Linked DNA regions of Caenorhabditis elegans. The protein of the gene in region 1 interacts with the protein of each later gene in a biochemical or structural test. Each region holds a gene or a part of one and is shown on either strand. Other genes may lie near its edges.

Evidence for each region. The genes of interacting proteins can lie anywhere in the genome.
Region 2: of the proteins of dct-1 (region 1) and ubq-1, one has a biochemical effect on the other in vitro, tested with the Caenorhabditis elegans proteins (one study listed by BioGRID).

What each region holds. Positions count from the first base shown.
Region 1 is NC_003284.9:7,951,213-7,958,062, reverse strand, and holds dct-1 (NIP3 homolog), read right to left. Parts: upstream 3,708-6,850; 5' UTR 3,689-3,707; coding exon 3,493-3,688; intron 3,311-3,492; coding exon 3,055-3,310; intron 2,624-3,054; coding exon 2,453-2,623; intron 2,403-2,452; coding exon 2,360-2,402; 3' UTR 1,877-2,359; downstream 1-1,876. Other genes in the region: sfxn-2 (Sidoreflexin), read left to right, coding at 182-343, 429-701, 1,216-1,343, 1,394-1,496, 1,541-1,688. UniProt on the Caenorhabditis elegans protein: Initiates apoptosis in a BH3-independent mechanism possibly by recruiting ced-3 to mitochondria and other cytoplasmic membranes. Has a role in lifespan and tumor growth. Required for the induction of mitophagy under stress conditions.
Region 2 is NC_003281.10:5,937,888-5,945,951, forward strand, and holds ubq-1 (Ubiquitin-related), read left to right. Parts: upstream 1-3,098; 5' UTR 3,099-3,103; coding exon 3,104-3,470; intron 3,471-3,520; coding exon 3,521-3,976; intron 3,977-4,029; coding exon 4,030-4,713; intron 4,714-4,761; coding exon 4,762-5,445; intron 5,446-5,495; coding exon 5,496-5,821; 3' UTR 5,822-5,940; downstream 5,941-8,064. Other genes in the region: F25B5.5 (CDK5RAP1-like protein), read right to left, coding at 6,029-6,199, 6,249-6,398, 6,442-6,572, 6,618-6,771, 6,816-7,176, 7,227-7,371, 7,423-7,488, 7,768-8,064. UniProt on the Caenorhabditis elegans protein: Ubiquitin exists either covalently attached to another protein, or free (unanchored).

The DNA.
Region 1 (6,850 bases):
ACATATTACAATAGCTGTATTTTTTCTTAAGTATTTAGAGTGAAATAACGGATATAAGAGCTTTAAGGGTCTGAGTTTGAAGTAATTCAAGCAACATTAAAAATTTCACAAAATTTGTGTTAAATACAGTTTTGTAATATCTTTGAAGAAATTTTTTCAAAAATAAAAAAAACGTTTACAGAGAGAAGAAGCCAGTGCCGGCAACACTTGAGGAACTTCATCGTTCGCAACGTCTGTGTCAATCAGCTTTTCATCCGGATACTGGAGAACTTCAGAACTTTGCTGGAAGGATGTGCTTCAACGTCTGGGGTGGTACAATGCTGTGTGGTGCAATGATGATCTGGTAAGTGAAAAAGTATTGCTAAAAGTAAGCTAAAAGGTAAAAGTAAGTAAAAGTATAAAAGTAAGTAAACCAATTACTGTTCCAGGTACAAATCGACGCCAGCTGTAATTTTCTGGCAATGGGCAAATCAGTCATTTAATGCACTGGTCAATTATACCAATCGAAATGCAAAGAGCACATTGACAACAAAAGACTTAGTTGTATCGTATTCTACAGCAGTGTCTGGAGCACTGGCAATGGCAATTGGGCTGAAAACATATTTTGCTAAGAAACAGAGCAGTCCTTTGGCTCAACGATTAGTACCACTGGGAGCCGTTGCAGTGGCTAATGCTATTAACATCCCTATGATGCGTCAGAAGTGAGTACTTATTAGAGAATAATCAGTATTTTTTAGTTTCAACCAAGTTTTTAAATGTTTTTAATCCGAGGTTAACTTTGTAGCCCTGAATCTGAAAGCTTTGAAATTTAGGAGTACAGAAATTTAAAGTTTGCTTTCTTATCAGTGATTTATTTTGAAACCCATTCAAAATTAAAATCAAAACGTAAAACTCCTAAAATCATTCCGCTTTTGACTTTTTTCTTATATGCAATAAGTTATTAATAATGAAGAGAGGTCAATGAAAAACTGGATTTTCTAAAATAAGGCTGTCTATGATGTTGCAGCTGAACCATTATGGTATTTTTATTTTGTAAACTGAAGACCATCTACTTTTGTATTCAACTAGAAACCGTAAAAAAAATTCGGAAATGTGTTGACCTATAAATTGAGGTTTTTCACGTTATTGTTGGCATATGGGTATAATTTTATGAGTTGAATTTAAATAGTGGAAATGTTGACTCTTCAAAAAGTTCTTTAAATCATTTTTTTAAAGTGAACTCAAAGAAGGTATGACTGTCACTGATGCCGATGGAAACAACGTTGGAGTTTCCCGGTTAGCCGCAGCTAAAGCCATCTCCCTGGTGGTTCTCTCCAGAAATATTATCGTTGCCCCATGCATGAGTGAGTTTAGCCGTTACTCTTTTCCTGTCATGCTTCATGCCTCATTTTAGTCCTCACTCCTGTCATCATGGAAGGCTTGAACAAAGTGGCCTCATTCCGGAAGCATATCAACAAACTCAACATTCCAACTCAATTGGCTTTAACTTTTGTGATGTGAGAGAGCAGTCATATTTCTAGACAACAAATGTGAATTTTAGTTATGGTGCAATGATTCCTGTCGGATGCGCTCTCTTCCCTCAGCAAAACTCTGTGAAGCTTTCAACATTGAAAAGATGGGAGCCCGAAGCCTTTGAAAAACTGAAAAATATCAAGGGAGATCGAGTGTACTTCAACAAAGGATTATAAGCGATTTATGAGCTTTTAGTTAACTAAACATAGATTTCAGCTTAATTTATTTCCGTGCAAATTGGTATTTAGAATGATTCGTTGTAGACATTTCTTGAATTGTGCAATTAATAACATCTGTGCAATTGTCTACTTATCAGTTTTTAAAAATTCCAGCATAATAAATTTAATCATAACTAAACAAAAATATATTTACATTTTATTAAAATGCGTGGTTTTGTAACAGTATTTTAGAAATATTTACAATTTGTGATGACAGAAAAACATGGAAAAGCAAGTTTCAGAATCAAAATGCCCAGGTAACAGCAAAGAAAAAGTCGTAATTACATTCAGTGTATAAAGCTATATTATGTACATAATTAATTTAAAATTACCTAATCGTGAGAGCAAATCGCGATTAGATGTGTTGAATTCAAAACTGTAGTAGGAATGTTTTGAGTATTAGGAATATTCAGGAGACAGTTTGAAAGATGACAATTTGGAGAGAAGGGAAACATGGCAAAATTATTGTTTATTCGAATCTTTTTGACAAGATGCAAGAAGACTCCGGAAGAATTTTGCAGAGAATGTAGTATTGTGAATCAAAGGGTAAAAATGCCCAATCTCCAGCACTGCTGGAATGTATGTACAGTGAAATGAGGTAAGTGGAACGTTAAAATTTTTGTTTGGAATTATTGACGATGATGTTTGATTAGTTTCCGGCAAACAGCAAATCTGAAGACAATCAGTTTTTCTGGAAGAAATTTCCTGAAAAAAATACTTACCCTACTGCTGCTCCAACGACAAAGCTGAAGATGTTGGTGACTAAGAAACCAAAGACTACGCGAACGTTGAAAAGCGAATCAGATTCGCATGGCAAGTATTGGTAGAGCTCTGGCTCGGGAGAGTTTGGCGGAGTGGTAAGGTTGGAGCCATATTGAACCATACGGACAGTCCTGCAAATTTTGTTTTTTTTTTCAACACAGAATAAAATCGGTATGGTTTGAGCAGGGGTGTCGACTAGCAATTCTACAAATTGAACCTTGCAACATGTTCTTCCAATATTTTCAGTAACATTTAGGTATGGAATATAAAAGTATTTTCAAAAAATCTCTTTTAGAAAATTTTCAATTAGCAAACATATTTTAGTTTAGATTGAAAGTTGAAAATTACTGAAAATAGTCCGACAAACTATGTAACTTTTCTCTAGCAGTTTTAATCTTTCAACAATGTATCTGCGTTTTTTAGAATTATTTTGAGAACATGCCATGCTGGCTTATTTTGTAGAACTGCTGGTTAGCAAATGCAGCGCATCCCTGGTTCTAAATTAATTTTGAAGTCTAAATAACTAAGCTTCTTTCAACCCATTAGTAGCTATAAAACTTACTTTGGAGGTGTATTTTCTGGCCGACTGCTCCAATCCCAAATCCAATCAGTATTCTTTCCGGGAGGAAGCATTTCTCTAACCAACTTGTACTTTACTTGTTCTAAGCTCTCGAATTCCACGTGAGGAGATTGTGCGATTGAGACTGGGCTCAGCCTCGAATCCTTATCTTTTTCATCAATGATCACCATATTAATATCGACGCTACTGCACAAACTGGTACGGCTTGGTGCCAGTTCCACCCACGATTCTGACATACCTGAAGCGTTCAAGAACATGGGAAATTTAAGTTGGAGTTAGTGAAAAGTGAATAGGTGTTAAATTTGTAAACTTGCAAAGATGTGTGTACTTTCAAAAAATCAAAAGCCCAATCGGTCACATGAGAATTCATCTAACGATTTGCCTAGGGCAAAAGTGTAATGAAAAAAAAGTAAAACAAACCAGGTGTACTCTCGGTCAATGGGGTGATAAATGGGTTTGAGACGGCTTTTGCGGATGGTGTTGTCTGTTGAGCCGATGACTGCTCCGTCTGCTGTTGCGGTTGCACAGACTCATCCGTCTTCTCGCCGGACGCAAAGTTGATCTTTCTTTTGATATCGAGCATTTTGGGTTTTGCAAACTCAAGAAATGAGGACATTGTTAGGAAAGACCCGTCTCTGAAACATTACTATTATACTATTATTACCAATTGTGTTTACAAATATGAGAAGAAATCGAAACTTGTAAAATTGTAAATTAAGAAATAGCGAAGTAGTTACGGGTTAACAATAAATACGAGTTGTTATAGCAACCCAACGATGCAGGTGTTGCTAGGTCCTTCATATCTACTCTACAAAATCAACAAACAAATTCAGAGTCTACACAAGCAGATGGCGTAGTTTATTTATAAACGTTTTCTCCAATAAAACAGAATTGGGGGCAAAAGTGAAGGAGGTCCGTTAGACAAAAAATTTCATAATACCTTTTCTACAGAGCAAATACCCGGAAAAAAAACTGGAGAGACGAATGAAAATATTTTGCTTTTCACAAAGTCGTTAAATTTTACTTTATTTTGAAACCTCATTCCGTCAGCCAGTCAGTTATTTATTTATTTGCTTATTTACATTTGTGCTATCTGAGACGCTCTGTGTGGTGTACTGCGAATGTTTGAGACGCGATTGTTTTGTTTTTCGTGGTGGGTGGACGACAAGAAAGATGAGATGACCGGATTGAATCGATTTAATATGAGAACAGAATAGTTGTGAATTAAAAAGAGCAAAAGCCAGAAATGTATTATATTTGTGAGCAAATATATATTCAACTGCCAAATAGGAAAAGGTTTATTTGATGGATTGGAACTAATAAACATTTGTCGTATTCGGCTTTTATTATTTGATAACCCTTGAGTATTTTTCAAATAAAGCATAGGTTCATAGCTCTCTTTAAAGAATTTATGAGAATGTTTTTTAAAAAATATTGCAACCCATCTTTTTTTCTCAAGAAATTCACAAAAATTGGTTCTCTCTTCTAATTTTAGAACTAAATGGAAAAGAGTGTAGCTAATTAGATAGTCAGAAAACGAGATGCCTGCTCACGCGTGTTTTTTACTCATTTTCACTACTTTTACTCACAAACTTGCTTTCAGCGTGATCAACTGTGGTTTTGAGACGGGTGTTTTTCGCAACACGTGATGCGACATAAAAATTTGAAATTAAGAAAGGCAATTAAAATAACATTACTGTGGAGAAATGAGAAGAGTAAAAGAAACAGGGCAAATTTATGAAATATATTTAAGAAAAAAATCAACGTTATTGATGTCAGGTGGCTGATTTTTGAGATAAAAGAGTCGTGGAAAATATGTACTATTCCGAAATCAGATTCTGAAAAGTTTGAACCAACTGAAAAAAGGGGGAAATGAAGGTTCTCAATCCTAGTAAAAGCCAATAAACTTGCGGCGAATTTCAGGAAATCAGAAATTCGAGGAAAATGGTAGAATTGGCACCCAGCCAGGCATATTATTATGTCGCGTGATACACCAACAAACACAGACGCTCTCTGTCTCACTTTTCGCTCGCATTTTCGCTTTTCCGAAGTACATGTGACCGTATTGCCAACAAACCAGATATTGTTTCTAAAAAAGAAATGGAAAATGTAGATGAGAAAATAATTATTGAAAAACTAGGTAGAAGAACAAAACTGATGCATACAAACTAATATGAAATAACTTAAGAAACTTCTTTCCACAAACTTGTCTTACTAATTAAATAAGAATCTGATCAGATTGTGAACTTCTTAAATGTCATGTTGGCCAGAATTTTGCACGGAAATGTGATTGAATCGAAAACCGAGTTGACAGGCGGGCACCCATCATGAAAAATCAAAAAGTTCACATGATACACCTCACCACTTTTCGAAAGTCGAACTTGCAAGTGACACCGGTCACAACAATTAAGACAAATAAAACGAATAGCAAATTACTAAAGAAGATTTGGGTCGCAATTATCTACTATCTACTCTATCCGCCAATATAACAGGGTTGAACAGGCGAATGTGATGCAATCATATGATGTTCACATGTGGATCGTACTTGTTGCACGTAGACCAACATGTTTTTCAAGAAACACAGGTGTAGATTGATTGAACTGAAATAAGATTATGCGTGGTACAGAAGATGCAGACAGTTTGACATAAAAATGGTTCTATGGGTAGAAAAATAGATAAGGAGGTGTTTGATTGATGTTTGTTTTATGAATGATAAACAAACTTTGTTCTGAGGATTGGAATTGAGCTTTTGCGGATAGACAAAAAACAAACGATAATGCATACCACCTTTATTAGTTTTTCAAATAGTACTTCTTATTGCGAAAATTTTGAGACTGAGGTGGGTTTTTTTTTGAAAAAGCTGAAAAAATATTCGAAATCGACAAGAAAGTTAGAATGGCCAAACCAAAAAAAACTGGCTTCACTTCTTAATTATTCTTCTCAAGATACACAAGAAATTTTTTTGCGAGAATCAGGCATAGGAAAACAGAAAAGTCACAGGGGGGGCTCTTTCTCTTTTCCCGGCTGTTAGTCATATGACCACCACGTATTTACCAAAAGGAGGCCGAGGAGGGGAACGCCGTGAATAGAGAACGAGATACGGAGAACACGAATCGATGGGTGGATAAAAGAGAAGGGGTGGAAGAAGTGGTAAAAGGGTGGTGGTTCACCAACAAGCACGTCAAGACAGGCAGCAGCCAGGAATACGTGGTAAATCATGTGAGACCGCATGCAAAAAGTGCACATGACCAGTCGCACGCAGGCGGAAAAGTTCATAAAGAGCACGCGCAATGAAGAGACGCAGCGGGGGAGACGATCAGCTGATGTTTAGAATTGGATGCGTATGTAGCCGTGGAATGGACACACACACTCGGACTTATTGGAGATGCCAATTGGCAGGCAGCTCTTGCCAGCCGAGACGGCGCTCTATTCGCTGAATAATGAGCGTTACTCTCTTCTCTCTTTATAGTTGAAACTATTCGATAGAGAAAACAGAGAAAAGAGGAGAATGAGGAATTTTATATCGACTATATGGGAGCATTAACCAGTGAAGTTGAATTAGCAGTTGGGGAGATTACATTTTTCAAAAACTAGGTTCTAGTGAGGTGATTTTTTACCTGAAAAGAGAGGATAAACTGTTCAACAACTTTAAGGAATATCATATCAATACGAAGTGTAAGAATTTTTAATTCAAAAAATTCCAGAAACGTCAAGAAACTCTTGGTGTTCTTTTTATGTTCTCTATGTGAATATGTATTGTTGAAAATTTCGCATTTTG
Region 2 (8,064 bases), on another chromosome or scaffold:
TAGGTCACATTGGAAAGTTGAAAATATTGCCAAATCGTGGCAAGCAAAAAATTGCAACATGCTAATATCTTTCTAACCCTATAAACATCCCTTCAATCCCCTATTTTTCAAAACCCCACACTTATAATACCTTTTCCCTTCAACCCTTACCCGTTCCATCACTTTCCTCCCTATTTGCATCTTTCTTCTCTCACATGACCCGTGATGCTTTCTCCAAACCAGTCCCCACCATCCATTTCCGTGCTTGCATCATCATCATCATAGTCGTCAATTTTTCAAGATTGTATCTGTCTCCCTCTCGTTTCCCCACAGCCGACTTAACAAACACCTCTTTTCCGCACTTTCCGCACCAAAAACATGTTTGCGTCTCTCCGTGTTTTCTACCGAGATAGCCACACGTCAAGTAAGCGCCAGTGATCTCTCAATTGATAATACTTTTTTAAAAGGTTTCTCAGTTAACTGAACAATTGTGAGGAAGATACAAATAGTTATGACGTGGCTTAAAAAGAGAAAAATGATGATGAAATAAATCATCACTATTCATTGCTATTCGTTAGAATGCAGGATATAAATCACGATTTTCGTTTTCGAACACAACTTTAAACTTCAATTTTTCCTTTGTTTCTCTGAAAACTTTGCAGTCATTTTCAAGCTTCCACAGAACTTTACAAAAAAACTAGATTTTCTCCAACGTGGCGATATTCCCGAGTTTCGAGAAGAATCCAGCTTGTCAATGCTGTATAAAACCTTTACTTTTCTATCGTTTCCATTATTTCTTTCACTGCACCTGTTACTGCCAGGTGCTTTATTTCCGCCTATCGTCTATTTTGTTTTCCTCCTACCAAATTTGACAACCCTCCGCAAACACTCATTCCTATTTTAGCCCGGTGAAATTTCGATATGGAGAAAAACAAAAACAAGTGTGAGCTTCCACTTCGGAATAATTTCCGGAGAATGAGAATTGTACAATTTTCTCCTATAAGACCATACAATAAAATTTTATCAGAAACATGAAGCTTTGGTCATTATCATTTTTTGTTACCCTTGAAATTTGATCACAAGGCTTTAATTTTTCATGAGACGTCAATTTTTTCTGATGATAAATAACATAGTTCAAAGTATTGCGTAATGTTTCAATTTTAACATGACACATAATAAATCAGAAACTCGAAAAACGTATTTAAATATAGATTTTGTCGGGAAGTTTAATGTGCAACTGTCTCGATATCTTTCTTTGAAAACATTTAATTTTTATTATATTTTCCAAACTGGATTCGAGAATTCTCGTATTCTTAAACAAATTTACAATGAAAATATAAATAATTAATTTAAAGGAACATGTTCTGCAATCCTCCCTGGGTCCCGCCACGAAACCGCCACGCACTACCATGAAAGGCGCGTTCGCATTCGTTCTGCCGCTCGTTTCTGTTTTCCAGATCTTTCCATCATTTTCTTCATTCATTCGCGCTCTCTCATTATCTTGAGTTGCCGGCTATTTTCGCTGCTCTCTGCTTTTTCGTATCGCTTTTTCACTCTTTCCAGCATTCAGAAAATTGCATTATTTCGGTTTTCATTTAAAAAACTCATAGCAAAGTATTTTGTTATTGATTTCGCAATACTTTCGAAAAGTATCGGAAAATTTTAATGTTTAGTCTGTGCGTTCCTCATTCCCTGTTCTCGTTGTACTCTTAACTGATGTTTTTAAATTTAGTTTTCCGGGGCTCTCTTGAAAAGACCCAATAGTCGTATTGAACCTTCGCCTGATCGCCACTAGCTCATCTTTTAGTCTTATGACGGGCTCACATGATTCTCCCCAGTGTCCTCCCGTTTTCTCACTGCACTTGTTTTGTCGTTCGTTCATCAGTACAAAGTACAAGCACTTTCGCGTCTGTCTGAAAATTGGTTCGGGTGCCGTTAGGACATTATTCATACTTTCCTGCTAGTCGCAGATTATAAAAAAATGTCCTTGACCGTCTGCTCTTTCTTATGTTCTCCCTATATATGCGTCAAACGAACAACTGACCCTGTTCACTTTTCCTATTCTTCGTTTCATCATTTTCTGTAACAAAAATGGAAACAATACTTTACACAGACGTCACTATTATTCAGGCCTATGATTTCTCTATCGTTTAGTTAAAGATGAAAAGAAACTGGTCGACCCAGTTGCATGACGAGAAAAAAGAACACCCCGTTCGATTTTCGTTGTATTCCCTCTGCACACATTGTCCCCTTCTTCCTCATCATTTCTTTCCCTACACAGCACTCTAGAATGTTCTTCTTGTGCAGAAAGAGTGCCGTTTGAGTCAGCGACCCCCCCCCCCCCCCTCCTTTCTCTTGCTCTTCCTCACTGGTTCTCGTAATAGGCGACTTCTTGCTAACAGAAAGTGAGCATAGCAACATTTTTTACTTTGTGGCCTTCAATAATACGTGCGTCGTTTAATTAGAATGTTTGAGTAAAGTTCAACGTGTAGATTCAATATTCACGTTTTGGGCGCTCTTTAATTTATTACTGTCAAGAATCAGTTTACCAAACGGTGAGTTTCTTTTTTTTTGTCTAATTGTAAGATTTAGCGGGGTAAAACCAACAGAAATGTCATGCTTTTTTGAATAATCTCAATCAGTTGTTATATGAATTATTTTCCCATTTTAGCAATACTGCTTGGTAGTTATTTTCGGTCAGAGAAACGAGGACATCAGCTGAACATCTGCGTCTCTAACAACACTCGGGGAAGGCGGAGTCAGTGTGCGCGTGCGTTGGGGGTTTTATCGATCGTTGAGGCGGGCATACAGCAGTCATACACCCCATTCGACCAGAACGCTCCGCTCGCGTGCCACCTTGTCTCCATTCTCATTTCACTTGTCTCTACTCGGACATTACTCCTCATCGATTAGCTCTTTACTACCATTTTACTTTTATGCCTTTCTTTTTTCGTTTGACTTGCCTATGACGAGTGGGGATGAAGTTTGCTTTGTTAGTCTTACTAGTGTATCGATTTTTTGGGTAATATTTCGCAACTTTCTAGGACTTTCTTTCATAATCACCTCTTCTCTCGCCTCCTCATTCCAGTTTTATTCGCACTCATTTTCTATTTTTTCAGCAATCATGCAAATCTTCGTCAAAACGTTGACTGGAAAAACTATCACCCTGGAGGTGGAGGCTTCCGATACCATCGAAAATGTCAAAGCCAAGATCCAAGACAAGGAAGGAATTCCACCAGATCAGCAGCGTCTCATCTTCGCCGGAAAGCAGCTCGAGGACGGCCGCACCCTGTCTGACTACAACATCCAGAAGGAATCTACTCTTCACTTGGTTCTTCGTCTTAGAGGAGGAATGCAGATCTTTGTCAAGACTTTGACTGGAAAGACCATCACACTTGAAGTTGAAGCTTCCGACACGATCGAGAACGTCAAGGCCAAGATTCAAGACAAGGAGGGAATCCCACCAGATCAGCAGCGTCTTATCTTTGCTGGTATGTTACATATAACAAATTTTGTTCATGAGAGACTAATTTTTTTCCAGGAAAGCAATTGGAAGATGGACGCACACTCTCTGATTACAATATTCAGAAAGAGTCTACTCTCCACTTGGTGCTCCGCCTCAGAGGAGGTATGCAGATCTTCGTCAAGACATTGACTGGAAAGACCATCACACTTGAAGTCGAAGCTTCCGACACGATCGAAAATGTCAAGGCTAAGATTCAAGATAAAGAAGGAATCCCACCAGATCAGCAAAGACTTATCTTCGCCGGAAAGCAGCTCGAGGACGGCCGCACCCTTTCGGACTACAACATCCAGAAGGAATCAACTCTTCATTTGGTTCTCCGTTTGAGAGGAGGTATGCAGATCTTCGTCAAGACATTGACCGGAAAGACCATCACCCTCGAAGTCGAAGCCTCCGACACCATCGAAAATGTCAAGGCCAAGATCCAAGACAAGGAAGGAATTCCACCAGATCAGCAGAGACTTATTTTTGCTGGTACGTTGGCAAAATATCTAATATTTGACCTAAAATTTATTATATATTTTCAGGAAAGCAACTCGAGGATGGCCGTACCCTTTCGGACTACAATATCCAGAAGGAATCAACCCTCCATTTGGTGCTCCGCCTAAGAGGAGGAATGCAGATCTTCGTCAAGACTTTGACCGGAAAGACTATTACTCTTGAGGTTGAAGCTTCTGACACTATTGAGAACGTGAAGGCCAAGATCCAAGACAAGGAAGGTATCCCACCAGATCAACAGCGTTTGATCTTTGCCGGAAAGCAACTCGAGGATGGCCGTACTCTCTCCGATTACAACATCCAAAAGGAGTCTACTCTTCATTTGGTTCTCCGTCTCCGAGGAGGAATGCAAATCTTCGTCAAGACTCTTATCGGAAAGACCATCACCCTCGAAGTCGAAGCCTCCGATACCATCGAGAACGTGAAGGCCAAGATTCAGGACAAGGAAGGAATTCCTCCAGATCAGCAACGTCTCATCTTCGCTGGAAAGCAGCTCGAAGACGGCCGCACCCTTTCGGACTACAACATCCAGAAGGAATCAACTCTTCATTTGGTTCTCCGTTTGAGAGGAGGTATGCAAATCTTCGTGAAGACTTTGACTGGAAAGACTATCACCCTCGAAGTCGAAGCCTCTGATACCATCGAAAATGTGAAGGCCAAGATCCAAGACAAGGAAGGAATCCCACCAGATCAGCAGCGTCTTATCTTTGCCGGTACGTTATATAGATATACATAACTCAAATCAACTATTATTATTTCAGGAAAGCAATTGGAAGATGGGCGCACGCTCTCTGATTACAACATTCAGAAGGAATCTACTCTTCACTTGGTTCTCCGTCTCCGAGGAGGAATGCAGATCTTCGTCAAGACTCTTACAGGAAAGACCATCACGCTCGAGGTGGAAGCTTCTGACACTATTGAGAACGTGAAGGCCAAGATCCAAGACAAAGAAGGTATCCCACCAGATCAGCAACGCTTGATCTTCGCCGGAAAGCAACTCGAGGATGGCCGTACCCTTTCGGACTACAATATCCAGAAGGAATCAACCCTCCATTTGGTGCTCCGTCTCAGAGGAGGTATGCAGATCTTCGTCAAGACATTGACTGGAAAGACCATCACACTTGAAGTCGAAGCCTCTGATACCATCGAGAATGTGAAGGCCAAGATTCAAGACAAGGAAGGAATCCCACCAGATCAGCAGAGACTCATCTTCGCCGGAAAACAACTCGAAGACGGTCGTACCCTCTCCGACTACAACATCCAAAAGGAGTCTACTCTTCATTTGGTTCTCCGTCTGAGAGGAGGTATGCAGATCTTCGTCAAGACATTGACCGGAAAGACCATCACCCTCGAAGTCGAAGCCTCCGACACCATCGAAAATGTCAAGGCCAAGATCCAAGACAAGGAAGGAATTCCACCAGATCAGCAGAGACTTATTTTCGCTGGTGAGTTCATATTGTTTTTAGAATTAAAACTAATTTTTATTGTTTTTCAGGAAAGCAACTCGAGGATGGCCGTACCCTTTCGGACTACAATATCCAGAAGGAGTCTACTCTTCATTTGGTGCTCCGTCTCAGAGGAGGTATGCAGATCTTCGTCAAGACTTTGACTGGAAAAACCATCACTCTCGAGGTCGAAGCTTCGGACACCATTGAGAATGTCAAAGCCAAAATCCAGGATAAGGAGGGAATCCCACCAGATCAGCAACGTTTGATCTTTGCTGGAAAGCAGCTCGAGGATGGACGCACTCTATCCGATTACAACATCCAAAAGGAGTCGACACTTCATCTCGTTCTTCGTCTTCGCGGAGGAGACATTTAAATCGAACCCATCAATTCACTCGTTATTCCTCCTCGATCTCCGTTCAAGTAACAATTATTTATTCTTTATTCCTTCGGGAATTTCTGTATTTTAATGAACGAGCTCTGAATAAATTCATTTTCGTGTACTCAAACGATTTATCTTTAACAATAACAAACAACAAAGATAACTACTCTATGAAGTGTAAGGTTCAACTATATTTATAGATCAGATGCTGGATTGTCCTATGAGTTGCGCTTTCAATGTCTGCGAATTGGCGTCGGTGATCAGAATCTTTGCATATTGACCAGGTTCCAAACAGAGTTTCGAATTGTCGAACACTGCTTTCACACCACCATCGATCCTTCCATGTGAAAATGATGCATCCCTTTTTGACTTCTAAAAATATTATTTTAATTCATTTTATTGGTGTTTATAGATGACTCACTCCTTCCAACAAAACCGTCTGTTCCGACCCGATAAGCGCTTGGTTCAATTTCAATGCTTCTTCCCGAAATACAGTAGTCAAATCTAAATGTCTTCTTGCTTTTACATCTTCTGGAACATCGTCTGTTAACCGATGATGTGCTCGCGTTTTCTGAAAATAATCTGATAGGAACAATTTTCAGCAACTGACTCACTCCACGCATACTGTAGGGGAAAACGAAGCAGAATGAATAACGAACGGCTCGAATGAGGGAAAGTGTGTTCTGATGAGCTTGTTCAGTTTCTCCACAGAATCCGGCAATGAAGTCACTTGTCAGAGAGACGCCTGATAAAATAATTAAGTTTTGTTTGAAGAGTGATTCATACTCACTTGGTAAAACATGTCTAATATCATCAACTAATCTCAAATACAGATCTCTTGTGTATCCTCTTTCCATCCGTTCCAATGTCTCATCATCTCCACTTTGTGCTGGAAGATGAAGTTGTTTGCAGAGATTTGGACGGGATGCAATAAGCTCGATCAACTGAAGGTTATCATGATTATCAATTAAAGCTTCATAAAAGTTACCTGCATCGGGAAATCCTTTGGATGCGGGGAAGTGAACCGAAATCGGATATCTGGAGCTGCATCAGCGACTTTTTCAAGCAATGTTGTAAAGGTCAGGCCCCCACTTTTTGGTTTATAAACAGTCTTAAAACCGGGAACTCTGTCCTCTTGTGATGTCGATGGAGCCATTGAGAAATCCATCGATGTCATATCTCTATAGCTATTCACATTTTGTCCAAGTAGTGTGACCTGTTTGTATCCCTGATCTCGAAGCCTCTGAACTTCTTCTACAATTGATTCAATAGGCCGACTTCGTTCTCTTCCTCTTGTGAATGGAACCACGCAGTATGTGCACATATTGTCACAGCCTCGCATGATCGAACTGAAGTTTTAAAATGTTTTTTTAAAATTGAAATTTTTAAATCGACAAACATGAAAGCCGTCTTGGAAGCACTATCGACTCGAATCGGTTGCACATCTGCATACGTTTCATCGAGAGAAAGTTGCACATTAATTCCATTTGAACCACCTGCAGCAACTGCGACAAGGCGAGGAAGATCTCGGTACGAGTCTGGACCTGTAAAATTTGAGGTGTTTATTCATGAATTTTACGCATTTTTTAACGCACCTGCGACAATATTAACCAAATTCCGCTTCTCTAGCAAGTCGTGTCGTACTCGTTCTGCCATGCAACCTGGAAATCATTTTTTTACCTCTAATATTTAATTTTGTTTGTTGGAAAATTGAAAAATATCAATTTCAAAATTAATTATATTCTATTTTCACGAATTTCCGATACCCGTTAGATTTGCTTAAATAGATTTTTCAGACGACTCGCCAATTTTGCACTAAAACTACGGTACCCGGTCTCGACACGACAAATTTTTGTTAAATGTGAGAAGGTAACAATTTATAGAGGAAGTTTTTTAGAATGAAGTATTTTTGATTTAATAACAAAAAAAAAAAAACTAACCCAGTACACCAACAATCTGTCCTTTATTCACCGAGTTCGATCTGATCAGTTTTAACTGATTCCATACTTTTTTCTCGGCTCCATCCCGAATAGAGCACGTCATCAGAAGCACAATATCAGCATTTTCCTTTTTATCACTTTCTACGAATCCATACTTTGTCATGATAGATCGAACGATTTCCATGTCACTAACATTCATCTGACATCCATATGTCACGTAGCACACAGTTCTTCCATTTCCTTGTAAATCTTCTGGATTCAGATATTCTTTTGTATCCTCGATTGACGGAATGATTG